Linked DNA regions of Mus musculus. The protein of the gene in region 1 interacts with the protein of each later gene in a pairwise test. Links are inferred from orthologs where the notes say so. Each region holds a gene or a part of one and is shown in the gene's direction. Other genes may lie near its edges. The genes, in order: Tex11, Zfp414, Ppp1r18, Mapkbp1, Snx7, Necab2 and Nefl.

The links.
Region 2: the proteins of Tex11 (region 1) and Zfp414 interact in binary tests that used the Homo sapiens proteins (3 or more experiments, as listed by UniProt). The two-hybrid records come from large-scale screens. The link is inferred for Mus musculus from reciprocal best matches to the Homo sapiens genes TEX11 and ZNF414.
Region 3: the proteins of Tex11 (region 1) and Ppp1r18 interact in binary tests that used the Homo sapiens proteins (3 or more experiments, as listed by UniProt). The two-hybrid records come from large-scale screens. The link is inferred for Mus musculus from reciprocal best matches to the Homo sapiens genes TEX11 and PPP1R18.
Region 4: the proteins of Tex11 (region 1) and Mapkbp1 interact in binary tests that used the Homo sapiens proteins (3 or more experiments, as listed by UniProt). The two-hybrid records come from large-scale screens. The link is inferred for Mus musculus from reciprocal best matches to the Homo sapiens genes TEX11 and MAPKBP1.
Region 5: the proteins of Tex11 (region 1) and Snx7 interact in binary tests that used the Homo sapiens proteins (3 or more experiments, as listed by UniProt). The two-hybrid records come from large-scale screens. The link is inferred for Mus musculus from reciprocal best matches to the Homo sapiens genes TEX11 and SNX7.
Region 6: the proteins of Tex11 (region 1) and Necab2 interact in binary tests that used the Homo sapiens proteins (3 or more experiments, as listed by UniProt). The two-hybrid records come from large-scale screens. The link is inferred for Mus musculus from reciprocal best matches to the Homo sapiens genes TEX11 and NECAB2.
Region 7: the proteins of Tex11 (region 1) and Nefl interact in a two-hybrid assay, tested with the Homo sapiens proteins (2 studies listed by BioGRID and IntAct). The two-hybrid records come from large-scale screens. The link is inferred for Mus musculus from reciprocal best matches to the Homo sapiens genes TEX11 and NEFL.

The regions. Positions count from the first base shown.
Region 1 is NC_000086.7:100,846,640-100,850,139, reverse strand, and holds part of Tex11 (testis-expressed protein 11), read left to right. Parts: intron 1-970; coding exon 971-1,091; intron 1,092-3,500. UniProt on the Homo sapiens protein: Regulator of crossing-over during meiosis. Involved in initiation and/or maintenance of chromosome synapsis and formation of crossovers.
Region 2 is NC_000083.6:33,627,597-33,631,891, forward strand, and holds Zfp414 (zinc finger protein 414), read left to right. Parts: upstream 1-1,495; 5' UTR 1,496-1,617; coding exon 1,618-1,620; intron 1,621-2,025; exon of another isoform or gene 2,026-2,102; intron 2,103-2,200; coding exon 2,201-2,483; intron 2,484-2,770; coding exon 2,771-2,878; intron 2,879-2,979; coding exon 2,980-3,085; intron 3,086-3,532; coding exon 3,533-3,867; intron 3,868-3,945; coding exon 3,946-4,010; 3' UTR 4,011-4,120; downstream 4,121-4,295. UniProt on the Homo sapiens protein: May be involved in transcriptional regulation.
Region 3 is NC_000083.6:35,865,226-35,869,414, forward strand, and holds the start of Ppp1r18 (phostensin), read left to right. Parts: upstream 1-1,389; 5' UTR 1,390-2,004; coding exon of another isoform or gene 2,005-2,009; coding exon 2,010-3,560; intron 3,561-4,189.
Region 4 is NC_000068.7:120,014,199-120,017,698, forward strand, and holds part of Mapkbp1 (mitogen-activated protein kinase-binding protein 1), read left to right. Parts: intron 1-424; coding exon 425-614; intron 615-1,144; coding exon 1,145-1,291; intron 1,292-1,494; coding exon 1,495-1,670; intron 1,671-2,581; coding exon 2,582-2,673; intron 2,674-2,941; coding exon 2,942-3,067; intron 3,068-3,318; exon of another isoform or gene 3,319-3,381; intron 3,382-3,382; coding exon 3,383-3,453; intron 3,454-3,500. UniProt on the Homo sapiens protein: Negative regulator of NOD2 function. It down-regulates NOD2-induced processes such as activation of NF-kappa-B signaling, IL8 secretion and antibacterial response. Involved in JNK signaling pathway.
Region 5 is NC_000069.6:117,830,937-117,834,436, reverse strand, and holds part of Snx7 (sorting nexin-7), read left to right. Parts: intron 1-1,397; coding exon 1,398-1,597; intron 1,598-3,500. UniProt on the Homo sapiens protein: Involved in the regulation of endocytosis and in several stages of intracellular trafficking. Together with SNX4, involved in autophagosome assembly by regulating trafficking and recycling of phospholipid scramblase ATG9A.
Region 6 is NC_000074.6:119,449,719-119,453,218, forward strand, and holds part of Necab2 (N-terminal EF-hand calcium-binding protein 2), read left to right. Parts: exon of another isoform or gene 1-363; coding exon 364-388; exon of another isoform or gene 389-604; intron 605-2,363; coding exon 2,364-2,472; intron 2,473-3,325; exon of another isoform or gene 3,326-3,412; coding exon of another isoform or gene 3,413-3,420; intron 3,421-3,500. UniProt on the Homo sapiens protein: May act as a signaling scaffold protein that senses intracellular calcium.
Region 7 is NC_000080.6:68,082,385-68,086,662, forward strand, and holds the start of Nefl (neurofilament light polypeptide), read left to right. Parts: upstream 1-1,478; 5' UTR 1,479-1,578; coding exon 1,579-2,625; intron 2,626-3,589; coding exon 3,590-3,714; intron 3,715-4,102; coding exon 4,103-4,278. UniProt on the Homo sapiens protein: Neurofilaments usually contain three intermediate filament proteins: NEFL, NEFM, and NEFH which are involved in the maintenance of neuronal caliber.

The DNA.
Region 1 (3,500 bases):
GCCACTATAATCAATGGGGCCAACATAGAAGATTATAGGGAAACTATCCTGTAAACTTCTCTGCAGTGAACATTGCATTAGACACTGAAAAATATTAAGCAAGAATAAGGAATCCACCGTTCTCAGGGGAGAAAAAGAAGGGTATATCCTGGTTTCCTTCATTTTTCTAGGCATATAATAAAATAGTACTATGTATCTTCCTTCTTTCATGTCATTTACTAAATATCCCAAATTATCATAACTTTGTAGCCACCACTCAACTTCAACATTTTTCCTTAATTTTCTTCTGTTTTTTTTCCTTAGTACTTTTAAGTATCAATAATGTTATGTGGTTTTGTTTTTTTTTTCAGGAAAAATTCATTACAGTCTTTCTGTTCTGAGAAGTAAGATCTTCACTTTTTGTCAATTTCAGTCCAATTTTAATATCTTTGTGTCCTTGAGGAGGTAGCATGATTGCTTAAATGCCCATAAATTAAATCAGCTCATAAAATATGACAATGGTGTGATTGGGCTGGCAAAATGGTTCATCAGATGAAGGTACCTGCTGCCGTATCTGATGGTCTTCTATGTGTAGTCTTCAGGACCCACATAGTTGAAGGAGAGAACCAACTCTGGAGAGTGGTCCCCTGACTTCTGCTCAAGCTTGTGTGCGTTGGGCTCACACACACACACACACACACACACACACACACACATTAAAATACGTTAATTAAACAATTATTTTATGAGAGAAGTGAAGTTGACTAAAATGACAACCAACAACAAGTATCAAAGGAAGGGCTAGTGAACCCCTTTTACATTTTCAAAACTCTGTCTTCCAAGATTAGAAGCAAGATCAAAATGAAAGAAGGAGCAGAAGTACTACAAAGCTCTCAGTGTGAGCTGAGACTCAGAGTTAACTGTCTTAGCCAGGCCACTGATCTCTTTCCTTACTTTTTATTTTCTTACGTTTCTCTCTTTATATTTTCAGCGTATGCATGCACAACTTGATTAAACTTCTGGTGGCAGATGAAGTATGGAATATATCGCTGTATCCCCTAAAAGAAGTTCAGAGCCATTTTAAAAATACTCTGAGCATCATTCGCCAAAACGTAAGTCAAAGAGCAATAGTAAACTTGCAGATGATTGTAAGGAATTGTATATTTGAATTCATACAGAATGATACTTTCTGATAGGATTTTTATGGTAAATTCACATTACAATGTAGATATCACCTTAAAAGTATCTCTGAGTTTATAAAATGTAGTCAATTGTAGGGATTTTCTAGTATAAGTTTACTAGTATAAGTATAAGGTTTGGGTCAGAATAACAAGACTACTATTCATCTTGAATTGTTTTGTATTTTTGGAGCCTACCACATTGCACATGTGTGGGTCACTATAAATAGTATCTGTGCTATAAACTTATTCATGAATAAGATATGTAAGATGTTAACTGTTGTTTATGAGAGCTATAGAACAGGAGAGTAAGATGGCTTGCTGAAAAGAATGCAAAAAGCCATTACTTACATTCATAATGATATCTAAGTATAGGTTTGGGACGTAGCTCAGTTTGTACAGTGCTTGCTGAGGGTTCTGTCTCCAACATCACATAGCCAGATGTGGTGGCACACACCTGTAATCTAGTACCTGGAAGCATCAGAAATGCATGGTCATCCTTGGTTACATAGTGATTGAGATCATGACACTCTGTCTCAAAATCAAGCAGGTAAACAAAACCAACAACAAAATCTAAGAATCTTGGCTGTTTTTATATAACAGGATTTGTAAATCACAATATAAGATAGTAAGTAGGATGCCAATCTGATACAAGCTATCAGTGACTAATGAAATCTAGACTTTTCCTGGAACAAGTTAATTCCGGCCTATATGAATTTAAATATGAAAAACCTCAGCACTGAACAACTTGGTTTTTCTTTTGCAACCTTTAACCTTTTAGGAAGAGGGGGAAATTCCATTTCTAATCCAGAAGCTACATCTGGAACTTCTAACTGTATTCTATATGCAAACTAAAAATTAGACTTACTGTAACTCCACACTGATTAATCTCTATAGTCTCTGTGAGGCCACAGCTTCTCTGAAGAACTTAGTTTTGCCACTTTTATCAATCACACTACAGTTCTAATCCCTATCACTCTTCTGTTAGAGAGCCTGCTGATTTTTAATTTTCCTGTGAGTTTCCTGTCCAGTATTGCCCCTACCTGAAACATGATCATATGCTTAGCTTTTTATACAGAAAATAATTAGTGCTCTTACCCACTAAGTCATCTCGCCAGCCCCTATACCACATTTTTTTAATTGGGTCTTTTTTTCTTTTTTCTTTTTAGTTCTTTATATGTTCTAAATACATCCTATCAGTTATATAATTGATAAAGATTTTTTCTCCCATTGTGTAGGCTGCTAGTTTCTTGAATGATAATGTTTTTTGCCATACAGAAGATTTGTAGCTTCATGAGGTCCCATTTCTTTATTGTTGATCCTAATCTAATTCTTGTGCTATTGGGTCCAGTCAGAAAGGCCTTTTCTGTGTCAGTAAGTTCAAGCCTATTCCCTGTGTTCTCTTCTATCAGACTTGGTGTACTTGGTCTGATGTTGAAGCGCTGGATCACTTTGGAGTTGAATTTTGTACAGTCATATATACGGATCTATTTTCATTTTTCCCCATGTAGCCAACCAGTTTGACCAGCACTCTTCGTTGATAATGCTTGTCTTTTCTCCAAGATATAGCATCAGTAATAGTGTCAGGTCTTGGAGCATTGCCTTGAGATGGATCCCAATGTGGGCCAGTCACTGGACCTCCTTTCCCTCAGTCTCTTCTCCATTTTTGTCCTTGCAGTTCTTTTAGATGGGGACAATTCTGGGTCAGAGTTTTTGACTGTGGGATGGCAACCCCATCCCTCCACTTAATACCCTGTCTTTCTACTAGAGATGGACCCTACAGTTCCCTCTCCCCACTGTTGGGCATTTCACCTCCCAGGTCTCTAGTCTATTCTAGAGGGTCCTCCCACCTCCCAAGGTTGCCTGTTTCCATTCTTTATGCTGGCCCTCAGGGCTTCTTTCACTGACTTGCTTAGAGTTGTCCCATGATATTTTTGAGGCTATTGTTAAAAGTACTGTTTCACTGACTTCTTTTTCAGTCTGTGTGTCATTTGTATACAAGAACACTACCAGTTTTTGTAAATTACTTTTGTATCCAGCCACTTGGCTAAAGGTGTTTATCAGCTGTAGGAGTTCTCTGGTAGAATTTTCGGGGTCACTTACCTATAGTATCATATCGTCAGCAAATATTGATACTTAGAATCCTTCTTTTCCAATCTGTATACTTTTGACCCCCTGCAGTTGTCTTAGTGTCCGAGCTAAGACATCAGGACTACATTGAGCACAGCCATGTCTTCTTCCTAATTTTGGTGAATTGCTTTGCGTTTCTCTCCATTTAGACTGATGTTGGCTGTGGGCTTACCATAAATTGCCTTTATTATACTGAGTATGTCCCCTGTACCT
Region 2 (4,295 bases), on another chromosome or scaffold:
ATGTGTGCATATATACATGCAACCACATACACAAAAATGGAAAAACAAACATTCATCAATGACTACTTCAGAAACCATGGTTTCTCTCTCTTCCACCTCTTGAAAGTCCTACAGGAGCCAGGCGTGGTGGCGCACGCCTTTAATCCCAGCACTCGGGAGGCAGAGGCAGGCAGATTTCTGAGTTCGAGGCCAGCCTGATCTACAGAGTGAGTTCCAGCCAGGGCTACACAGAGAAACCCTGTCTCGAAAAAACAAAACAAAAGAAAGAAAGAAAGAAAGAAAGAAAGAAAGAAAGAAAGAAAGAAAGAAAGGAAGGAAGAAAGGAAGCCCTACAGGACTCACCCAAGTTCTCTTTCTGACCTCCATACCAACATCTTTATTCTGTTTCAATAGTGCAGAGGTCTCGCCCTTGCTTACGAAAGGGGAGCTTGCTCTTTGCCAGCTCAGGACATCTGCGCCAGCTTGCTGTAGTGCTCTGCTTCTGTAGGCATCAAGGCACAGCTCAAGTCACCCCCTTAGACAGGCTTCCCTGACTCCTCATTTCACATCAGTTTTGTTTGTTTTCTTATCTCCTAGGATAGATCCAAGATCATTTTTCTGCTGTTGTTGATTTATTGTCTCTCCATTTTCTTGGTTGACTAGAGACTCCCAAGAGCAGTACTAAGTTCCTGGCACATAGGATGCACTTAAGGAAAGTAGGGTGGGCAGGCGACCTCTCAGTAGTAGTGCACTTGGGATTCATTTTCACACCTCTCGACCTGTGGAATTTGCTTGTTCCTGAAGATCCATTAGTTAGAGTGTTTCTCACATTGGGCTATTACAACAGATTCGTACTTGCTGCACACTGGATGTGCTGAAAATTTTATGGTGCTTGCTAGGAAGATGGGTCTGTGCAGACACAAGGGACCAGGGTTCAAACCCACAATCATGTAAATGAGAAAGAGTTTGGATCTCTAGCCCTCCCTGTGAGGCATAGCAGCTTCCTGTAATCAGGGCCCTTTGGAGGTGGACACAGGAATCTTCTGACAAGTAAGTTAGCTAGCTAGGTGGGAACTGGTGAGCTCCAACTTCAGTGAGAGATGTTGCCTCAGTGAATGAAGTGGAGAGCAATGAAGGAAGACAATGTCTACCTTGGACCTCCGCTCTTACCTGCTCACATCTGTGCATATACATATTCATTTGTACGTGTATGTGTACAGAGCTAAGGATGTGGCTTGCTTTGTAGAGAGTTTGCCTAGCATATATGAAAACTCTGGGTTTGATACTCAGTACCACCTAAAACCTGGTGTATTGGCATCTAAGTTCAAGGTCAACTTCTGTGTAAGGCCAACCTGGGCTATAAAAGTGGGGAGGGGAAGAGCTTTTGTCAGTTTTCTCTGAAATTTAAGACCAATCAAAAGCAGACCTTCTCTGTTTCTGTATAAGAGCTGCAGTGTAGTCTCAGGCCCCTCCTTCTAGAGAAGCGCCCAGAATTAGGCCACACCCCATGTCTCGCGAGATCTGAGAAGCGGGAAAATGGCGCCGATGTGAGCGAGAGACCGTGTCGCCGAGGAAGACGCCCCTGCTGGAGCCAGAGCCTCCGAAGGCACGGGAACCAGAGGTGTAACTGAGTAGAGGATGGTGAGCGCAGCACCCCGCACGCGGACGCGGAAGAGCAGCGGGACTGACAGGGAACGGTCCTGCCGCGCGCCCCCCTCCAGCTGACCCCGCCCCCACATCCGGGTCCCCGCCCGCCTCTGACTGTCACTTAGCTTTCGTCCAGCCCTGAAGGCCGGGCCACACCCACTCTCCTAGAGTTCAGTCCCTAAATTTAACACGTATTGGCTCAGAGCGTCTATCTGCTCAGCTCTAGCTTAGCCAGTATTCCCCATCATCACACGATCCACTGTAGGCCCTCCAGCATTTCCTAGTTGCTCCTCTAGGCCACACCTCCGCCCCTAGTGCCTCTCCTGCCAAAATTGAGGAAGGGATGTTAATGCTGCTTTTTTATGCATAATCCCTGATAACTCCTGCAATTGGAATTAGGAGACAGTAGCTCGGTCTGCCCTTATCTCCCGTATCTTGCTGGTGACTCAGAAAGTGGAATGACTGGGTAATATCTGGTGAGTGTTGAAGGAGTCTGTCTTGTGGACCTTTGTAGTAGAAGGGCATCTGTCTGACCTAGGGATCCCAGCCTGATTTTAGCCACTTCTTGCACCAGGAGGAACCATCCAGGCCCAGCTCGGACACGCTGACCACTGTAGAATCCAGCTCCGGTGAGCCAGACAAGGAGGTGGCATCTCCAGATGGGGCAGCTCCAGCCACTTTTTCCTCCGTGGAGGAGCCCAGCCCTAACCCAACAGCCATGCCACCAGTGTGGGACCATGGAGGACCTCTGCAGCAAGTTGCCTATCCAGCCTCAGACAGTTGCCAGACTGGCTCAACCAACACAGGCGTGGGGACCAATGAGGACCTTCGGTTGCCCAGACGCCGTCCACCGCCAGGTTATCTGTGGACCTTTCTGGGGAGTCACATGCCTTTGATAGGGCTGAGATGGTGCAAGACAAGGAATCACCTTTTATCCCATTGCGGGGGTGGGGGGGTGGGGTGGGGGGTGGTCTTCACCATTTACTGAGCACCTTGTCAATATGTCAGGTGTGGCTCCAGAGATGAACTAAACCAATCCAGCCCTTCCGGGCAGTTTATTCTGACAGTGGCTGGGTGGGGAGTAATCAAGGCTTTTGGGTAGGTCAGTAAGGAAGAGAGTAATGACACCCATTCGTTCCTGCAGGGAAACAAATACCCTGCTCTAGCCCCGGCTGCTGCCTCAGTTTCCCCAGTGTTCGTGATCTAGCACAGCATCTCCGTACCCACTGCCCACCCACACAGTCACTGGAAGGTAAGATGAGGGTTGCTGATAGTGAAGCAGATAGGCAGAGCCCCCCCCCCCAGAGTTAGTCTTAACCACCCCACTCCACATCTGCACTTTATCCCTACCAGGCAAACTCTTCCGATGCTCCGCGCTGAGCTGCACTGAGAGTTTCCCCAGCATGCAGGAGCTGGTAGCCCACGGCAAGCTGCATTACAAGCCCAACCGCTACTTCAAGTGAGAGCCTGACCATCCCCCTCTTTCAATTCCCAGATCTTTAGTGCTTCTTAGTGTGTGTGGAGGAAGGGTGGGTTGAAGTATGAGTGTGGCCTGGGAAACCAGCTCCAACCATGCATGGAAAACAGATGGGAATTAAGTCATTCTGGCTACGGGCTCAGTTTGGAGGTGCAGGGTATACATGCCGTGGTTCCGTCCAGTTCTACCTCATGTCTTATGTGGAAAACTGGCACTTAAGTAAAACCAAACTTGAGATTCTGAGCTGGAAAGGTCCAGAAGAATTAAGACTACAGTAAAGGAGGGCCTGTAGGCCAAGCTCCTTTACTTTGTGTGCAGTACTACAGAGATTCTGATATAGATACCCTTCCTACATCTTGGTCCCTGGGAAGCAGTGGATAGGCCCTTCCTGTTGCCCAGGATATAGTCCAGTACTGTGCCTGCCCCCAGGTGTGAGAATTGCCTCCTGCGCTTCCGCACTCACCGTTCACTCTTCAAGCATCTGCATGTTTGTATAGACCATGGTCAGAACCCAGCCCCGCCACCACCCCCTGCCCTGGACAAAGAGCCACCTGTACCCGAGCGTCCCCCAGAGTCCGACCCTTCGTCTTCCCTGGGCCTGCCATTCCCACTACTTGAGCCTTTTACCTCTGCCCCCACTGGGCCCTTCCTTCCATACTTGAACCCTGCACCCTTTGGCCTGAGTCCCCCTCGACTGCGCCCATTCCTGGCTGCCACTCCAGGGCCACCAGCATCCAGCACTGCCATCTGGAAGAAGAGTCAAGGTGAGTATAGGAGCAGGTTGCCTGCAAAGCTGGCTGAGCCCACCTTTATTCTGAACTTGAACTGCTTCTTTCCTGCAGGCGCTACCAGTAGTCCCAGAAGACCTCAGGGTGGCTCTGATGCGCCCTCAGGTGCGTGCAGGTGACCACCAGGGCAGGGTGGAGGGGCCTTCATTCCTATGCCCTGTGTGGGCCTTGCGAATGCTGGAAAGCAGCAGTGCCTGTCCCTTAAAATACATGATTTTTACCTTTAAAATGACTGGTACCTATGCCTTCATCTGCGCTGGCGTTCCTGTGTAAACATTTGTGTCTTGTCCAATCTCTGAGTGCTCTTCTCCGGTGGTGGATCCAGGGATAGGAGGCAAATGTGGTGCCTGCGGTGATGGGCAGTCAAGCCCAGGAAAAAGAATCCAGCTTGCCTGGACCCTGGC
Region 3 (4,189 bases), on another chromosome or scaffold:
GTACCGCGGCTGTGCTTCCTCCCCACTCCTGCCTTAGTTTCTCCTTAGGTCTTTCCCTACAGCTCTGTGTGGTCTCCTAAGGCGACGTCTCCCGATTTTAACTCGGGTTGACTCAGGGCTCCCTGCTCTCCCAAAGGATATGCGCTGCAGAAAAAATAAAATTTTATACATATGATATCCACTTGTCTGTCCATGACTCTCAAGCCGCAGAACCAATTGTGGGAAGGAAGATGAGACCTAGTTTTTGCGGTGATAGCCGAGCACTCTAAAACGATCGCAAGGCTGGGGCCACACCCCATGGACCCGCCCCATCTCTCAGTCGTCCAGTCCTGTTCCCTCCAAATATTAGTTTCTCCGCGTATAAATCAGGGAACCCACGGGAGACAGAATAACTCTCTGGGAGGAGAGCGAACTCCCAAAGCCATTTTGCCTCAGACCCCAGGGCCTGGCAGCCGCCTTCTCTGCCACGGTAACAAAGACTGGCTAGGGAAAGAAAAAGCGTGGGGAGGAGCGGCGAGAGATGGGAAGGGCGGGTCCGACTCCAAGCAGCTGCCGCTTCCTCCCCATGTCCCTCAGGGGGCCTGAGTCACGGGCCGCCGCCCCGGGTCGGCCAGCTGGAGAAGTGGGTCTGGACACCCCGCTTCTTCGGGGCTGCAAGGAAGGAAGCGGGTGAAGGTCTCTGGAGACAGACAACGGAGAGCGAGGGGATAGCCACAGCAAGAGAGAAGTCCCACCAGAGTCCACGCGGGAAGGAGGGCAGCGAAGCCCCGCCCTTCGCCGGGCTCCTCCCTGCGCCCCCTTCCCTCGCCCCATTGTCCGTAGACAAAGCGGTCGCCGCCCCCGCCTGGCCCCCAGTCTGCGTCTCCGTCCCTCCTCTTAGGCTCCCTCTTCCCTCCTCCTCTGTTTCCCTCCCTCCCTCCGGATCTCCCTTCGCCTCTCTCCTCCTCTTCCTCTCTCCCGACGCCTGACTCCACTGCACCTCCTCCTAGGGACCCCGAGGCGTGTAAGTTGACTATGTGGCTCCCACTTTAAGAGAAGTGCCTCCTGGCTCCAGATCTTCCCTGGAGTGTCTCCCCTTTTGCATAGATTGTCCCTTCAGTTCCCTCTGGTGCACAACCCTTTGGGTCAAGGTCCCCTGAGAGCCGGCTCCCTGGTTGGGGAAGACAGCAGAGGCGTGATGTGGGTCCTCGTCGCGCCCGAGTTCTGGAGCGTATCCGGTGGGGAGGCCGGCGAGATTGTAGGGACTGAACGCGGCTGGACGCCAGGGTTCTGGGAATGTACGGGGCTGCACACTTGCTCGGGTACCAAAAGTCCCCAAGGAGGGTATTTCCCCTGACCCGCCTCGGGGGCGGGAAAGACAGTGGGGTAGGGGCCGGACTGAGGGGCGGGGCCGAGCGCAGCCGGGAAGGCAGCCGGGAGCTGCGGGGGCCCCGTGCGAAGAGGCGCCGGCGCCCTTGCCTGTTTCCCGGTCTCCCCTTCTACCCTGGACCTCTGCCCTCTACATCTGTCCTCACCTCCTCACCTCCTGCCCGATCTCCTCGCCCTTCGCCGTCTGGTTCCCTGTTCTTCCCGTTTATCTCCCCCTGCGTACCGGGGGAGGCAGTCTTGACTGAATCCGCTCACTTCTCAGCCCCGGCTCCTCCGGCTCCTCTCTCTCTCCTGCTTTTCCTCTCTCCCCTTTCTTATATCTTAGGGACGGTCTGGTGCCCACAAACCCCAATCTAGCTCTGCCTCTGCCCGGAATCTCGACTCTTCCTCTCCCACTATCCCCACCCCCAACTTGGCACCCAGCTTTTCTCTTCAGTTTTTCAGTTCCTGACTCTTTTGCTGTCCTTCCTTTCACGGCCTTCCTCTATCTTCATTCTTAATTCCACTGTCCCCTCCTGCCCTTCTTCGTCCCTTCCCGCATCACTTCCTCCCCCAACCCCCATTCTCAGTCTCCGGGCTCCTCTGAAGCTTACCCTTCCTGTTCCTGTCCCCCAATACTCTCTCCTTCACTTCCAGTGACCATGACCGCTATCCCAGATTGGAAGCTACAGTTGCTAGCCCGGCGGAGGCAGGAGGAGGCAGCGGTTCGTGGCCGCGAGAAAGCAGAACGGGATCGCTTGTCCCAGATGCCAGCCTGGAAGAGGGGAATCCTGGAACGACGCAGAGCCAAGTTGGGCCTGCCTCCTGGAGAGGGGAGCCCTGTGCCTGGGAATGCTGAGGCTGGACCTCCAGACCCAGATGAATCTGCTGTCCTTTTGGAGGCTATTGGACCAGTACATCAGAATCGATTCATCCAACAGGAGCGACAGCGGCAGCAGCAACAGCAGCAGCAGCAGAGAAACGAGGTGCTTGGTGATAGGAAGGCTGGGCCTCTGGAGGTTCTAGAAAGGAGATCAAGTCCTGGTAATTTAAGAGATCAGAGTCCTAAGGGAAGAGAGTCCAGAGAAGAGAGGCTAAGTCCCCGGGAGTCCAGAGATAGGAGGCTGGTGATAGGGGGAGCCCAAGAGTCAAGTTCGAGGTCTCTTCGAGACTGGAGGCAGAGCCCAGCAGAGGCCAGAGACCTGAGTTCCAGACCAGCAGAGGCTCAGAAATGGAGGCTGAGCCCTGGAGAAACTCCAGAGGAGAGTCTGAGATTAGCGGGTTCTGGAGATGACAGTCCCAAGAGAAAGGAGGTGTTGGAAAGCATTCTGAGCCCTGGGGAGCCTGGTGACCAGAAGGCCAGCCCGACAGATGTCCATAAATGGAATCTTGACTCAAGAGAACCCCAGAAACAGAGCTTGATACAGCTGGAGGCCACAGAGTGGAGGCTGAAGTCCGGTGAAGAGAGGAAAGACTACTTGGAAGGGTGTGGGAGAGAGGAAGAGAAATTGAGTTCAGGGATTGTTCCGGTGACAAAGGAGGTTCAAGACATCACCTCGAGCGAAGTGGAGACTGCTGAGCAGAGACCCACTGAAAGCTGGAAATGGACCCTAAACTCTGGGAAGGCTCGAGAACGGACGACCTGGGACATAGATACACAAACTCAGAAGCCAGATCCTCCAGCATCTTCAGAGAAGCACCCAGGACCTTCTGGTATGGAGGCTGAAGAGGAGGCTGAGAAGGAGGAGGCGGAGGCTCAGAGCAGGCCTCTGAGAGCCCAGCAGAACCTCTGCTCTGGGCCCTCCCCCCTCCCACCAGAGCACTCTGGGACGGAAGGCTCCAGACAGCAGGAAGAGGAAGCGGCAGAACCCCGGCCCCCAACACCAGCCCCTCTGTCTCCCCCACCCTCGGCCCCAACTGCCCCCCAACCCTCTGGGGATCCCCTCATGAGCCGTCTGTTCTATGGGGTGAAACCAGGACCGGGGGTGGGGGCCCCCCGCCGCAGTGGACACACCTTCACTGTCAACCCACGGAGGTGTGCGCCCCCTGCCAGCCCAGCCCCTCCAGTCAACCCTGCTACAGCTGATGCTGCAGGGTCTGGATCTGGGAAGAAGCGGTACCCAACTGCAGAGGAGATCTTGGTGCTGGGGGGCTACCTCCGTCTCAGCCGCAGCTGCCTTGTCAAGGGGTCCCCTGAAAGACATCACAAACAGGTAAGAGAGCTACCATGCCTGACTGGGTAGAAGTCTCTTTCTAGTTCTGACTGGATGGCTTTTTTATATGTGTGTGTTCTTGTCTTCTATTCTTTTTATTCCTGCCGACTCCCTTCCTCCCCCTGCACACACCCTTCCTCTGGGTAGCCTTCCTTTGCCATTCATTTTGGAGCCCCAAGGATTCTGTTCTGCACTCAACTGCTGTGTTGGGGTGTGTCGTTTTCGGGTGTGCCCTGCCTGTTTCTTCTTTCCCCACTCTCTCGGTCCCCTCTCCTTTTCTTCCTCTGGGCTTTTGACCCAGTTAACCCTCTGGTAAGAGAGAAAAGATAACGTACCTGTGAAGGCGTGTGAAAATAACCCAGGGGGACAGAGAAGGTTGACGGAGAAGTTCAGGGAAGTTGGAATGAAGGTCTCAGCCCCAGAAGGAGGAGGGGGTCAAAGCTAATGGAGGACATTCCAGAACAGAGGTGGGGGGTGGGTTGGGGTGATGGAACAGAGCTGGCTGAAGGAAGAAGGAGTTTAGACCCCAAGTCGGCCCCCACTCCTGGCAAGAAGAGGCCATTTGAAGTGGGTGACTTCAGGGTTGCCTACCCCTCCCCCCAAACTGGGCAAATGTTAGACAGTGCTTC
Region 4 (3,500 bases), on another chromosome or scaffold:
GAGGAGGAAGAAGAGGAAGAAGAGAAAGAGGAGGAGGAGATTTTGAGGTGCTGGAGATAGTACCAAGAGCCTTGCTTGTTAGATAAGTGCTCTACCACTGAGCTATATCACAAACCCTATTTTTGTGGTATGTAGTATAGTCTTGTTTTGATCTCTGTGCAGAAATACTCATAGAACCATGTAGATTTTGTTGTGCTCCATTGTAACCACAGAATTGCCTTGTCTGGTATTGGTGATCTATGAATTTGTTAGCATTTCTCTGGAAAACACTCTGCCCAGTAGCTGTGGTTGGGTGAGCTCCTGGATTGGATCTCTAGGCACTGCTTTTGAATTCTCAGTTCTACTTCCAAATCTGTAGGACTGGAGACAGTGTCCTGTGCTCCATTCCTTCCTTTGTGGTAACTTCCTGTCCTCTCTCCCACAGTCGCCTCTTTTCTGGAGGGGTCAATGCAAGGTACCCAGACACCATTGCCTTGACCTTCGATCCAACTAATCAGTGGCTATCTTGTGTATACAACGACCACAGCATATATGTTTGGGATGTGAGGGACCCCAAGAAAGTGGGGAAGGTGTACTCCGCTCTGTATCACTCCTCCTGTGTCTGGAGTGTGGAGGTACGTGGGATGGGTTTGCAGTAATTCCACTGTGAGAATAGAAAGCAGAGAACACCAAGCACGGCCCTAGGGTCCTGCCCCTCGGCTCTCAGTGGCTTCCCTGCTGTAGCTCTAGAGCTTCTAGAGCTCCAGTGTGAACGTTGGTGCCCATGCACCTCAGCCTTCTTGTGTGTCTCTGCCTAGCCTGAGTCTTTGCCTTATCCTCGGCTCAGGAATCTTGGATAAGTTACTAAACCAGACTAAGCTTCAGATCCCTTAACTGTAAAATGATGTATCAGATTTTCCCAATTGTTCTAACAATGAAATGACATAACGTAATTGAGAGATTATGGCACACAGGAGGAGCTGGGATCGCGGGCTTTTCCTTACTGGGTGCATATATAACAGTAATGTCTCCTTTCCTTACTAAATGTCAGACAATAGCTAAGTCTTAGCACTCTGCCTTGGATGCCATAACCCTTTCCTTCTTCCTGAGTAGACAAAAATGCCCCCCAAAGCGGAAGTCTAATTCTCTCCCTCTGTCCCTTCAGGTCTACCCTGAGATCAAGGACAGTCACCAGGCCTGTCTTCCCCCCAGTTCCTTTATTACTTGCTCCTCAGACAACACCATCCGCCTGTGGAACACAGAGAGCTCTGGGGTACATGGCTCTACCCTGCACCGTAACATCCTCAGCAATGTGAGCCTCCCGTTTCATACTTATGCCCCCATGCTTATAGATTTTGACCTTGTTTTCAGGAACTGGCTCCCCGAATCTTGATCATTCAGCTTTTATTTGGCTGGACTCTCTGAGCCTAGGGTTGATTTTACCCAGCATCCCTCTGTGCTTGCAGCCATCCTGCTGGTACTGCCTGAGCTGTCTCCTTTCTCCTTTCCCACCAGGATCTCATTAAGATCATCTATGTGGATGGGAACACTCAGGCTTTGTTGGACACTGAGCTGCCTGGAGGAGACAAAGCTGATGGGTCGCTGATGGACCCCCGAGTGGGCATCCGGTCCGTGTGTATTAGCCCCAATGGACAGCACCTGGCCTCCGGAGACCGCATGGGGACACTTAGGTAAGGTCAAGTTCTGAGCTAGGTACTGACTGCCTCTCATGGTGACTGTGGTAGTTAGATCCTCAAGAGCAGCGCTTTAGGAGGGCTTGTCTCCCCCCAAAGCTTAGAAACAAGATATTTATTCTGTAAAATGAAAGAATGAGCTTACAGTGGTGAGCTCAGAAAAAGCCATCGCAGACATAGGCACAGCTATCAGTCACACATCCGCATGAGGAAGCTCAAGATAAGGGGTTCTAAGAAGGACATAATATTGTTTCTGTGGTGTTCTTTAAAAAAATGCATATAACTCAGTTCACTTGTGAGAGGCTCAAATGAGGTACATACAAGAGAGTAATTGTCAGTGTTCTTCAAAAGTGTCGAGGACATGGAAGGTAAGGAGGGATGGAGAGACTACCACAGACTTCAGGAAACTAAAGAGCAGTGATAGCTAAATGCCTTTTACATTCTTTAAGATCCTGAATCCAGGACATATGGACAAATAATGGCATGTTAATAATATACCTACTTGGGCTGGTGAGACGGTTCAGCGGTTAAGAGCACCGACTGCTCTTCCAAAAGTCCTGAGTTCAAATCCCAGCAACCACATGGTGGCTCACAACCATCCGTAACAAAAATCTGATGCCCTCTTCTGGAGTGTCTGAAGATAGCTACAGCGTATACACATATAATAAATAAATTAATTAATTAAAAAAATAATAATATACCTACTTAACAGTATGTAAATGCCTGGCTCTGACATGTGCTGTTGTTATGTATGCTAGTTAAGAACTGGGCAAGGGGATATAGAACACCTTCAGTGTTTGAACTTTTTCTTAAAGCTTTAAAATGTTTGTTTAAAGGTGGGGAGAGGATGTAACAGAAGAAGGAGGCCTTTCCTCTCACAGCCAGGCAATGATGTCTCTTATTTGTAGGATACATGAACTGCAGTCCCTGAGTGAGATGCTGAAAGTGGAGGCCCACGACTCTGAGATCTTGTGCCTGGAGTACTCTAAGCCAGACACAGGTAAGGCCTAACCCATGCCCTAGCAGGGTCTAGCTCTGGCACAGCCCCTCCTGTCCTGCCAGTGCCACCTTATACCTGCCTTGGCTTCTGATAATCTTGGGTCCTATATTCATTCAGATCACTTGGTGTTTGCAGGATTGTAAGATCTCTGCCCCTGTTCTGTGGTTCTGTGGCTTTAGGGATATGAGGCTCTGTCTACTTGGGGCTCTTTCCCAGGCACTGATAAGGGCCAGCTTAACGTGAACTGATAAGATTCTTCCAACCCCAGGTTTGAAACTGCTAGCATCGGCAAGCCGGGACCGTCTGATCCACGTGCTGGATGCTGGCCGGGAATATAGTCTACAGCAGACACTGGATGAGCATTCATCTTCCATCACTGCTGTCAAGTTTGCAGGTGGGGACTGGGCAATTGAAGCTATTCATCCCTCTACCTACCACCTACATTTATGAGAAGAGTTTGCTGGGAAGGATTGGGAGGTACCCGGGAGTCATGAGGCTAGGTAGGAAGGCAGGTGAAATATAGACTTTCAGTCTAGGGGACCCTGAGCCAGACTGAGGGCTGAGGAGGGGGTGCATGGGTTTTGTGGGATGCACTCTGTTTTATTTGGTTGGTCCACCATGTAGAGTAGCTCCATTGGGGAAAATAAGGGAAGGCAGGAGAAAGGCTGCCTTCATATGGTGGAAGCAGCCAGGTCCCTGTCCCCTACAGCCAGTGATGGGCAAGTGCGAATGATCAGCTGTGGTGCAGACAAGAGCATTTACTTCCGAACTGCACAGAAGGTAAGGGCACTGGGTGTCCCCAGCAGGGCAGGGGTGGGAACAGGGTT
Region 5 (3,500 bases), on another chromosome or scaffold:
AAAAAAATAAAGAAGATGCTAAGCATCCTTAACAGAGCTGGAGACAGGATTCCATTCAACATATTAGAGATTCCATTGGGAATTTTGAAATCTAACCGGTGCAGGGCATACAGATCCATATCAGGAAACTAGTTTGAGAGTGGTAACTTGTGAGCCCTTTTGATCATTTTCATTCTAAATCATTTCATTTTGATCATTTAAAAAATAAAGCTTGGTTTCCTTTTCTTTTCTGTTTCCCAATTTATTAAATTTATTCTTCAAATTTCTGCTGATTGCATGTTGTGTTGTTTCTCTGTGCTATAGACTAAAGAGATTACAGCTGTACCTGCCCCTGACCTCACAGTATACTTGATACCTATATTTTAGCAAGGGCACTTACTAAATGTTGATGTGTAGGTATGGTTTGAAAGCTGTGTAATTTTAAGAAGGCTCTGTAGTAAATAGTTAACTGCCTAATGAGAACCATCAATGTGCACACATATTGAGAACAGAACTCTTAACATTTTTTACTTCCTATTTTTGGGGTCATTAGTCTTCAATACAGATGGACTTTACTCTGAAAAGTGAAGTTAAGAACTCAGATTAAAACTTACATCTTCATGAGATAATCTTAACTTCTGGAGTTCACTTGATCATAGGAAAACTTGGTGCTAGTTGTAGCTTGGAGTGGCAGGATATTTTCCAGTGAATTGTACTGGGTGGAAAGAAGGTGAACTCAAGAGAATATCACTGTGTGCATGGTGATTCCTGTAGAGGGAAGGAAGAAAGCCTATAGTTTTGCTTAGGTTAGTGCGTAGTAATTACCGTTGAAGTGTTTGTATAGATAAAAGAATGGAATAAAGACACATTTTGCTTAGAACTTTGGCTGTGTATACTTAGATACAATATCTATATGTAATTATATGATAGGTGGAATTTTAAAATAGCTAGGATAGTTGTATAATATAATTTTCCAAGCTAGGATAATAGAATAGACATCTAGTTTTGATTATACTTAGTAGCACTTCAAAAACTGACTTGTACAATCTGCAATGGCTGGTTAGTTAATGAAGGATAATATAAGCATTTGCTCATATCTAAACATAAGAACTTGGAGAGAATAAGACAACGTCCTTTCATACTATCTATGATATGGGGATTTTCAAAAACTTTTTTATAGAAGCTGGAGAGATGGCTCATCAGTTAAGATTTTTATTGATCGACCAGAGGATGTGGATTCAGAAGCCAGCAAATCAAGCTTCAAGGGTCCCAGCACCCCCCTTTCTGCTCTCTGTGGGCACCTGAACATGAGGCATACACTCACGTACCCAACCAAACAAATACAAATAAAACGTAAATCTTTCAAAAATGTAAACTGACAATGACACTTTTTTTCTCTTTTTTTTTTTCTTTTTTAGACTATTTTGATGAAATGAAAGAATACGGCCCTATTCATATTCTATGGTCAGCCTCAGAGGAAGAGCTGGTCGACACGTTGAAAGGCATGGCCGGCTGCATTGAGCAGTGTTGTAAGGCCACGGAGAAGCGGATGGCTGGCCTGTCAGAGGCCTTGCTCCCTGTCGTCCACGAGTATGTGCTTTACAGTGAGATGTTAGTGGTAAGACCCTGAACTAGAGTCTCAGCGCTGTTCTCTTCATGATGCTGTCTCTGTGTGTCCACCACTCTTTCCTGTCCTAGTTGGATGTTGTACGTGTAGATGCCCAAGAGATATCTAACCACTGTAGCCAGGCATCAATGGCTAAGTGACCACATAGACAACAGCTGGGCTGCTCAATAGGAATAATTTATGTGATTGGCTTCGATCCAAAGCATCCTTAATCAGGACTGACTTAAGGAGCAGTTTTCTAACACCCAGTTTTACTTTAAAACATGTCATTGTTTTATGCTTTATAGATTTAATTCCTTGAGAGTTACTTTCCTGTATCATTTATGATTTTGAACATATGTCCTATGTATTGTGTATATATATCATGAAGAATATAATTGATTGAGTAGTAGGGTCTTGATATATGCATGCCGTGCCTTCAGGCTGCTTCCGAAGAGAAATCTTCCAAGTTAAAATGTTCCCTTACACCCTGTAAAAAAGCCTTTTGTTCGTTATATAGTCATCTTACATTCTTCTTCCTCAGTTCAACTTAGGATTTCCAGATACTTGTGTTTGTTTGGAAACGGTGATGTTTTTGTCCTCTATTGTCCTGTGTTCTCAGCATGCTGGCTCCTTCTGGTGTCGAGTCTTTCAGGGGGATGTTGGAGGATAACATTGGAGATGTATAAGCATATATTCCAACATAGCCCCTTCTGCTTGAAATTGGAGCCATGACTGATTTCAGATGGAATGCACCTTGATTCCTAGTAATTTTAAAAATTGTCTCTATCTTGGTAAGAAAGGGTTGCAGAGCTGTGAAAACATGAGTTATTTCTCTTGTGTCTCGTGTTTAGGCTTTACTTGAGAGTCACTAGATCTTGCATGAACTTTGCAGACTTTTGACGTTACCTGGATTCTGAGGAGTTGTCTATAAACAACACTCCTTGCTTCTCAGAGACTCCATGCTTTGCGGCTGAGAGATCTTCCTCTCCGTCTATTGCCTCAGCTGCGTCTCCTGGTTTTCTCTCATTAGTTACTTCTCCTTGTGATCCTTCTTGGAAATATGGTTTATCTGTTTCATCCATCAGTTCGGTAGTACTTATCCCTCTTGTTAAGTCAAGCTAGACACCATGAAAGCAAAATCTTATGCAATTAAAGTTTGCAAAAAATCATAATAGCCACTAGAAACATCCATTATAAAGCTCCTTGGTGGATTGAATTATTTTATAGAGACCTAGGATATAATCACTAGTTTTTGTATTACATTTTTGCTCCTGTTTCATATAGGATATTTTCATCTGAGTTAAAATAATCACTAGTGATACCTTAATAGATAATGATTAAAATTATATGATATTTACTGATTATCCTATAAAATATATATTTATATTAAAATATGTTTATAAATTAATGCACAGTACAGAAGTAGAACTTGAGTATGTGGGACTTGCTGATAGTATGAATTATTTAGATTGGAGGAAAGAAAACCTGCCTTGACATTAATCAAAGTAAATGATATAAAGGAATTTGTGACAATTAGTTGAATTTTCTATTGTTTTTCCTGAGATTTGTCTTACGTACCATACCTTAGTTATGCAAAATTGGTTTCATTATGACATCTTCATATATGTATATATTTTCATTTTGCCCCCTTCCACTCCGGATGATACTTTTTCTTCCCAACTTCTTTCATGCCTTGTTTATTGATTAACTGGATGCTCTACTAAATTTCACGGGGCTGCTTACAAGATAAGGGTGGGGTGGTTATAGAAACAGGAACAGTTTACCAGTGGTAACACCACTGAGGAAAAGGTATCTCCCTTCCCTAGCAACTGTTAACAGCCTATGGATTCTCATAGACAGAGAATTCCTTATGTCTAGCAGAGTTCTTTAAGTCTAGCAGATCCTAAGCCCA
Region 6 (3,500 bases), on another chromosome or scaffold:
CTCTCTGAGCATGGCTGGGTGCAGCTGTGTGCTCAGTGATGGGAGAGTCTAGGGGGATGAGTGTGCGCACACCTGCAGAGATGCGTGTGGGTGTGCGTGAGTGTGTAGCACGAATGTGTGTGTCTGTCAGCAGCCGTGGGCAGGCTGGCAGCGCAGTGGGAAGAGGGATTGATAGCTTGTGAAGGCTGGGGAGGGCCTCTGCCTGCTGCAGTCTCTCCACGCTGGGTCCCAGCCTCGAGGTCTCCCGGGGAAGTTTGGGCTTCCAAGCTGCTCCTGGGAGAGGGATCTCAGCTGGGTCACGAGGCTGCTCAGGGCACCTGCCCAGGCTCATCTCAGGACTGACTCCAGCCCTCCTCTCTCCAGATTTTCCGCCGCGCCGATAAAAATGGTGAGTTCCTTCCAGGTGCTCCGCTGCCCACACTCCCTGTCCTGATGCTTCATGGGAAAGAGCTAGGGGTGGGGACAGGGACGACTATGGTCCTGAAGATGAAGAGCACAAGAAGATCCAGAGGTCAAGTCCTGCCGCTGTTCTGGGCCTCAGTTTCCCCTTCTGTAAGCTGAAGTGGTAACAGCTGTCCTGTGTTGCTCTGAGCTTTGGGGCAAGGTAAAGAGATGTATGTGAGTGACCTACGACATTTCAAAAGAGAACCAGAGGGTAGCATGTTCATCCAGGAAGGAAGTACTGACGAGGCCTGTACCTGTCACCTGCCCTGAGGCCCTTCCCAAGTGGCCTTCAATTCAAGGTGGCTCCAGTTTTGTCCAGTTCCTATGTCCTTCCTAGGAGCTGTTGTTAACCGTCCCATGTGGTTGTGGGGTGGGGTGGAGCCCTTTGGGTTATGAAAAGGCAGAAGAGCAGGCCTGGGTTAGGATCATTGCAGAGGAGTGTTGCCCTCATTGGGCCTGTCCCAGGTGATACGCATCTTCCCAGGCCTGGCAGTGAAGGATCACCTGCAGATCCCACACACAACACAGGGATGTAGGGAAATCAAACAGTACGGAAGATGTGGTAGCACTGTGCAGAGCCCGCACTACCCAGGGAAAGAGGCCTGGCCCCGCCCCCAACACAGGTCACAGGAGTGTCAACTTCAGCTTGCAGTGAGCCTTAGACTGCACCCTCCTGACCCCCTCCACTCCCGCAGGTTGGGTGTTTGGACTTGTGTTCTCGGTGAGGGCACTATGCCCAAAGCAAAGGAGGGCCTGTGCCAATGTATTCAGGATGCCTTCCAACATAAGAACAAGGCTGTGTGTCTCTGGGAGGCTCTCACGATAAAGACTAGCTTGGACGTGGTGGGCACGAGATAGCCCGAGGGAAGGCTAGTATGAGAGTCCTGACTGGCACCCCTGGGTATCGCTGGAAGACGGGCATAGACGTTTAGCAGAAGGGTGAGGATCAGTCAGTCTCTCCTTCCCGGGATGTGAGACTCACAGGCTCTTGCTATTTGAAAGGTCACTGCGGCAGGCCGGGCTCCTGCTCATTAGTAGCACCACCTGCAAACAGCCCTGCTTGGGTTATTGGCAGAAGTGATGAAGCTACAGGATAACTTGTCATCTCTTAATTGGACCAGAGGCCAAGTGGAGGATATTTTTTCCTCTTAATAGCTCATCTGTGCTCATTAGGCCTGTGGCTAGCACCCAAGGTAAATGTCAGCAGGCTTGTGATCAGAGAATCTGCAAGCCCTGTCTTCCAGCTTCCTGTTCTCTCTGGGTACGGAGGACACTGAGGTACCACCCATGAGAAGCAGGTGGAAGCAGTCAAGAGGGAAACTGGACCTGGTGTTGGCACACCCCATGCTGTGCCCGGGACAGACATGACTAATCAATTACAGCACACATGTGTTGAGCCTAGCATTGGCCTCAGCTTTTCCATGCAGCCCAGCTACTTCACGAAAGATAGAGCCACCCAAAGGGTGGGGGACTGTGCTAGCACCTACCGTGTGGCACAAAGTCCTGCTCTAGGTTAGGTTGAAGGTCTGAGTTCAAACTGTTGTTGCCTTGAGGAAGGATGCAATAGAGGGACTATCCTCAGACTATCCCAGAGCCTGGGACGTGGGGCCGGGGTTGAACGTGATCCCTATAGGCTAGTGGTGTCAGGTTAAGCATGTTACTTAAATAGTGTCTGTGTCAGATGACTGAGGGAAGAGCAGAAGGGGTGATTGCCTGGTAGAGGGCACGAAGGTGTTTGCTCCCCAGAAACCAGCTTCCATTGCCTCCGATGGTTTGGGATTACCTGTCGGGAGGCCTCAGGCTGATCACAGGGAGTTTGTCAGCTGAGTCAGTAGTAGTGGGGATAGGCTGTGGGCTACCACTGTGTGCTCTTCTCTCGGAGACAAACAGCCACTTGCTTCCTTGCCTGCCCATTGCAGATGATGGGAAGCTGTCCCTGGAGGAGTTTCAACTCTTCTTCGCAGATGGCGTCCTTAATGAGAAGGAGCTGGAGGGCCTCTTCCATACCATCGATTCAGACAACACCAAGTGAGCCCGGGCTACCATGGGGCACTGTGGGGGGGGATGTATAGGCTCCTCCCATCTCCACAATGCCAAGGTCCTGTTTAAGGGCAAGAGGTCTGGAACTCCCCTGACCCAGTAATCCAAACATCAGACCTGTTTGGCTCTCACTGCCAAGCTGTGTGCCAAGCACGCTCTCGCTCTCTCTCTCTCTCTCTCTCTCTCTCTCTCTCTCTCTGTGTGTGTGTGTGTGTGTGTGTGACTGCCACAGAGTTTGTCCTATGTGCTACCAAGGGGTAAGAGACCCTGGGCCTGCTGTAGTATACACAGGACTGATGGAACTTGGCCATGACCCTGCCTGCTCTCTCTCCGTTCTGTTCTAATCCCAGAACTACCCCAGGATCTACATTCTAAGATCCTGTTCCTGTGAACCACCATCCCAAACCACCCCCTGTAATGCATATGAATCCCAACTCTATCCTGAACCTCACTTCTGGCTTTGAAGCCAATTGAGTTGTTTTCTACAATTCACTCATGACTTGGACCCCGTAGCAGTCTCACAGGGTACCTGGCCTCCAAAGCCAGCATGAGTGTGCACTGTCCTTTATCTGATGCTCCTGAATTCAGTCTAGGTGGGCAACAGCCACCTGGTCACCTTCCTCTGCCCCACTAAGGTGCTGAGGACTAATGTTTCTAGGGTGCTAGGGCAGGTTGGATCACTTGGGGGGCCCAGAGACTAGTGGTGGTGTGGGTACACGGTTGCTACCAGGCCAGTTTGCTGTTTGTATAGAAAGCGGTAGCACAGAGCTGAGGCTGGAGACCTGACAGGGTATGATTTTCTGGGCATGCCACCATGTAGGAGTGACTTTGGTTCTCACAGTAGATCAGGGGACACTGTCTCCAGGACGCATGAGGTCTCAGCTTCTCTGCAGCCTCCTGGGAACACACTGAGTCACACATTCTTGGGATGCAGAGGTAGGTGCATCGCTGAGTTCAAGGCCAGACTGAGTGAGTTGCAGGACACAGAGAAACCCTGTCTAAAAAAACAAAAACAA
Region 7 (4,278 bases), on another chromosome or scaffold:
TATCAGAATCACAGTATGTGTAACACGAGAAAGGAATATACAGAATTAAGCTCCCTTCATCCTCTGTTTGGTCTCCAGAAGCGACCGAGTACAACTCCAAAAATTTCACTACTTTTTACTTGAAAACGGTAACCTCCCACTGTGCCATTTAAAGGAATCAGCAAGCCAGCGATACATTGAACAAATTAAACAAAACGCCAAATGCTTGCTTAAAGGTTTTAGTTATTTCTTACAAATCTGCAGTATCTCTTCGGAACTGCAGGCGCTCACAACGCGAGTATGAAAATGTTGCACCCACGTGCGTTTGGCGTGCCCACTCTGGTATCTGGGTGCTCCCTGAAGGAAGCCCATAGGTTCCTAAGTGTATCTATTATCTGTGAATTTCAGCAGGCTCCATGCAGCGTTCTCTTCCTGAAGACCACACCCAGAGCGGGTAGCCCTTTGCAGCAGTCTCTCTCTCTCTCTCTCTCTCTCTCTCTCTCTCTCTCTCTCTCTCCCCATCTACCTTCATGGCTTGTTGAAACCATCAGGTTGGGGTACCACACAGGTGTTAAAAAGAGGAGAAGAGGCTTTTGAGGCGTTGGAAGTATGAATAGCTCAGTGAGGATAAAGGCACCCTGAAGTTCTCCCGCGGCCGAGCGCGCCCGTCTTTTGCCTTGCAAATCTTTACCTGGCTGGTTCCAACCCCTCCTAAGCATTCCCGACTACATTTCTCACAAAGAAAGGGGAAATTCTATGAAAGGTGTCAGACAAATTAACTGCTGTAAAGGTTTTAAAATGCCAAAATGAACACCCGCTGTCCTGCGGTTCCAATGGTGTGTAGTGGTGCAATTTCCCTATGTATTGAGAAGAAGAGTAATACGGAAAGAAATAGAAATAAAAATAAAAGGAGGCAGGAGAAAGTGGGGCGAATTTAAGAAAACGTCAGAAAATAGCTACAAAGACATGCAAAACTTTTCCTGCAGTAATGCCGCAAGAACATTAGCTATTGTCAGCAACCCAAACGTGCTGCTTAAACACGAATCAGGGTGCTTGAGAGGGTCCCTGAGGCAAAAAGGGAAAGCTGGGAGTGGGGTGGGGTGGGGTGGGGTGGGGTGAAGGTGTCTTTGTGACATTGGATGTTAAAAGTTGATGTGTCAGTAGGGATCGCGAACCTTTTTATTTGGAACATTTAAGAGTCCTAGTGATGTGGGCTTTAGGTATTAAGAGGCAGGATGGGACGGGGGAATAGGAAAGGAAAAGAATAAGCAGGGAAGTTATGGGGGTCTCAGAGAAAGTAGGGGTCCTCATAGAAAAGCGGCCAGGCTGGAGCCGCAGCTCGCTAGCCTTCTGTCGTTCGCCCCCGCCTTTGCTTTTGCGCAGAATCCTCCCCTTGGCTGCAGCAACGCGCTGCCCCCACTGGCCTGCGCACGGCGATCGATCACAGTCTGCGTCAGAGTCCCGGCGTATAAATAGAGGTGGCAGGACCGCGCCGAGCCGCACACAGCCATCCATCCTCCCCTTTCCCTCTTCTCCCCCGTTCTTCTCTCTAGGTCCCCCATCTCCGCCCCGGGCCTGAGGGGCGCACCGGCCGCCACCATGAGTTCGTTCGGCTACGATCCGTACTTTTCGACCTCCTACAAGCGGCGCTATGTGGAGACGCCCCGGGTGCACATCTCCAGCGTGCGCAGCGGCTACAGCACGGCGCGCTCCGCGTACTCCAGCTACTCCGCGCCGGTCTCCTCCTCGCTGTCCGTGCGCCGCAGCTACTCGTCCAGCTCTGGCTCTTTGATGCCCAGCCTGGAGAATCTCGATCTGAGCCAGGTAGCCGCCATCAGCAACGACCTCAAGTCTATCCGCACACAAGAGAAGGCACAGCTGCAGGACCTCAACGATCGCTTCGCCAGCTTCATCGAGCGCGTGCACGAGCTGGAGCAGCAGAACAAGGTCCTGGAAGCCGAGCTGTTGGTGCTGCGCCAGAAACACTCTGAGCCTTCCCGCTTCCGCGCCCTGTACGAGCAGGAGATCCGCGATCTGCGGCTGGCAGCGGAAGACGCCACTAACGAGAAGCAGGCGCTGCAGGGCGAGCGCGAGGGGCTGGAGGAGACTCTGCGCAACCTGCAGGCTCGCTATGAGGAAGAAGTGCTGAGCCGCGAGGACGCCGAGGGCCGGCTGATGGAAGCGCGCAAAGGTGCGGATGAGGCCGCGCTCGCCCGCGCCGAGCTGGAGAAGCGCATCGACAGCCTGATGGACGAGATAGCTTTCCTGAAGAAGGTGCACGAGGAAGAGATCGCCGAGCTGCAGGCTCAGATCCAGTATGCTCAGATCTCCGTGGAGATGGACGTGTCCTCCAAGCCCGACCTCTCCGCCGCTCTCAAGGACATCCGCGCTCAGTACGAGAAGCTGGCCGCCAAGAACATGCAGAACGCCGAAGAGTGGTTCAAGAGCCGCTTCACCGTGCTAACCGAGAGCGCCGCCAAGAACACCGACGCTGTGCGCGCTGCCAAGGACGAGGTGTCGGAAAGCCGCCGCCTGCTCAAGGCTAAGACCCTGGAGATCGAAGCCTGCCGGGGTATGAACGAAGCTCTGGAGAAGCAGCTGCAGGAGCTAGAGGACAAGCAGAATGCAGACATTAGCGCCATGCAGGTATAGTACGGTTTAAGCTCAGTGGGGGTGGGGAGGTCCACGGTAGGGGCGGCGGCGGGGGGGGGGGGAGTCAGGGTGTACCCAGAGAGTGAACGCTAGGGGGTTCTAGAGCACAGAGCAGCTATCAGAGGGCTTGGCTTCCGAGAGGTTGTGGAAAGGATGGGGCATTTGGAGGGGGCGGGGCGCGACTGCTGCCTGGGGATTGCTTGTTCTGGTTGAATCAGGGTTGTTAGGGGTGAGTTGGGAGGAAGGGGCGGAGGGAGTCGGAGTTGGGCGTTGCCAAGTAATGCCTTCTCTTTACTGACAACCCTTAACTCCCAAGTTACCCTCAGTACTTCCTGGATCTCCTGGTTAATAAATATGCCTGCTAGCTCTCACTAGTTTTGGGCCACCCAGCCTTGGGATAGTTTTTTTTTTTAATAGGGACACAAGAATACAGTCACAATATTTTAGCAATTAATCACTGCAGTCCATTAAAAAAAAAGTTCTTCATCTTTGGCGGGGGGAAGCATTTTAGACAAACAGCTACACAAATATATATAATTTAATTTTTATTTATATATTTATTTAGACAAACACACACACACTATATATATATTCCCCTTCCCAAATGCGACCTGGCTAAAAGAAATGTGACAAGGGTGGTTAATAATAATAATAATATCATCATCAATTTGGTAGTTTTAAAAGACAGCTTACCATAATCAATTGAGAACAATTTTCAAAATTGTTCACATCAGTCTACTCCCCTCCTCTTCCTCCTCTCCTTCTCTTGCTTCACTAGACTGGGCATTTTAGGCCAACCCCTCCCCCTATGCCCCACCCCACCCCATTATTTTAAGGGAGATTTCTGGAAGGTGTACACTTTGGAGTTAACTAAGACCAGAACTTATCATGGATACTACAGTAAAACAAATGCAGTAGAGATTTGTGTTTTGAATTTTTTAAAACAATCTTCCTACAGGACACAATCAACAAACTGGAGAATGAGCTGAGAAGCACGAAGAGCGAGATGGCCAGGTACCTGAAGGAGTACCAGGACCTCCTCAATGTCAAGATGGCCTTGGACATCGAGATTGCAGCTTACAGGTAACATCAGGGTGGTGCTGGCAGTGGGCATGGCGGCTCAGGACAGAGCAGATGACCCAGTCAGTGCAGTTATAGTGAGTCCCACGTGCTCTAGAATAGTCCTACTTTGGTCTTCCTCCAAGAGGGTACAAATGTGTAGGGAATTAACCCTGAAGTAACATAAGCCCTGTTCTTAGCATTCATATTTTAAACCTAATAGGGATGCATAGAAGGTCTTTTTGGGTGGGGTCTCTCGTGAACTCCTTATTAAATTTTGATTATGCCTAACCGTATTTGTTCTTGTATTTGCCTTTGAGGTTGGTTGTAGAGGAAAGTAATGAATGTGGGCTTAGAGCAATGAACACATCCAGCCTTGCTCTAACTGTACTCTTCATTCCCTCTCCACCAGAAAACTCTTGGAAGGCGAAGAGACCAGGCTCAGTTTCACCAGCGTGGGTAGCATAACCAGCGGCTACTCTCAGAGCTCGCAGGTCTTCGGCCGTTCTGCTTACAGTGGCTTGCAGAGCAGCTCCTACTTGATGTCTGCTCGCTCTTTCCCAGCCTACTATACCAGCCACGTCCAGG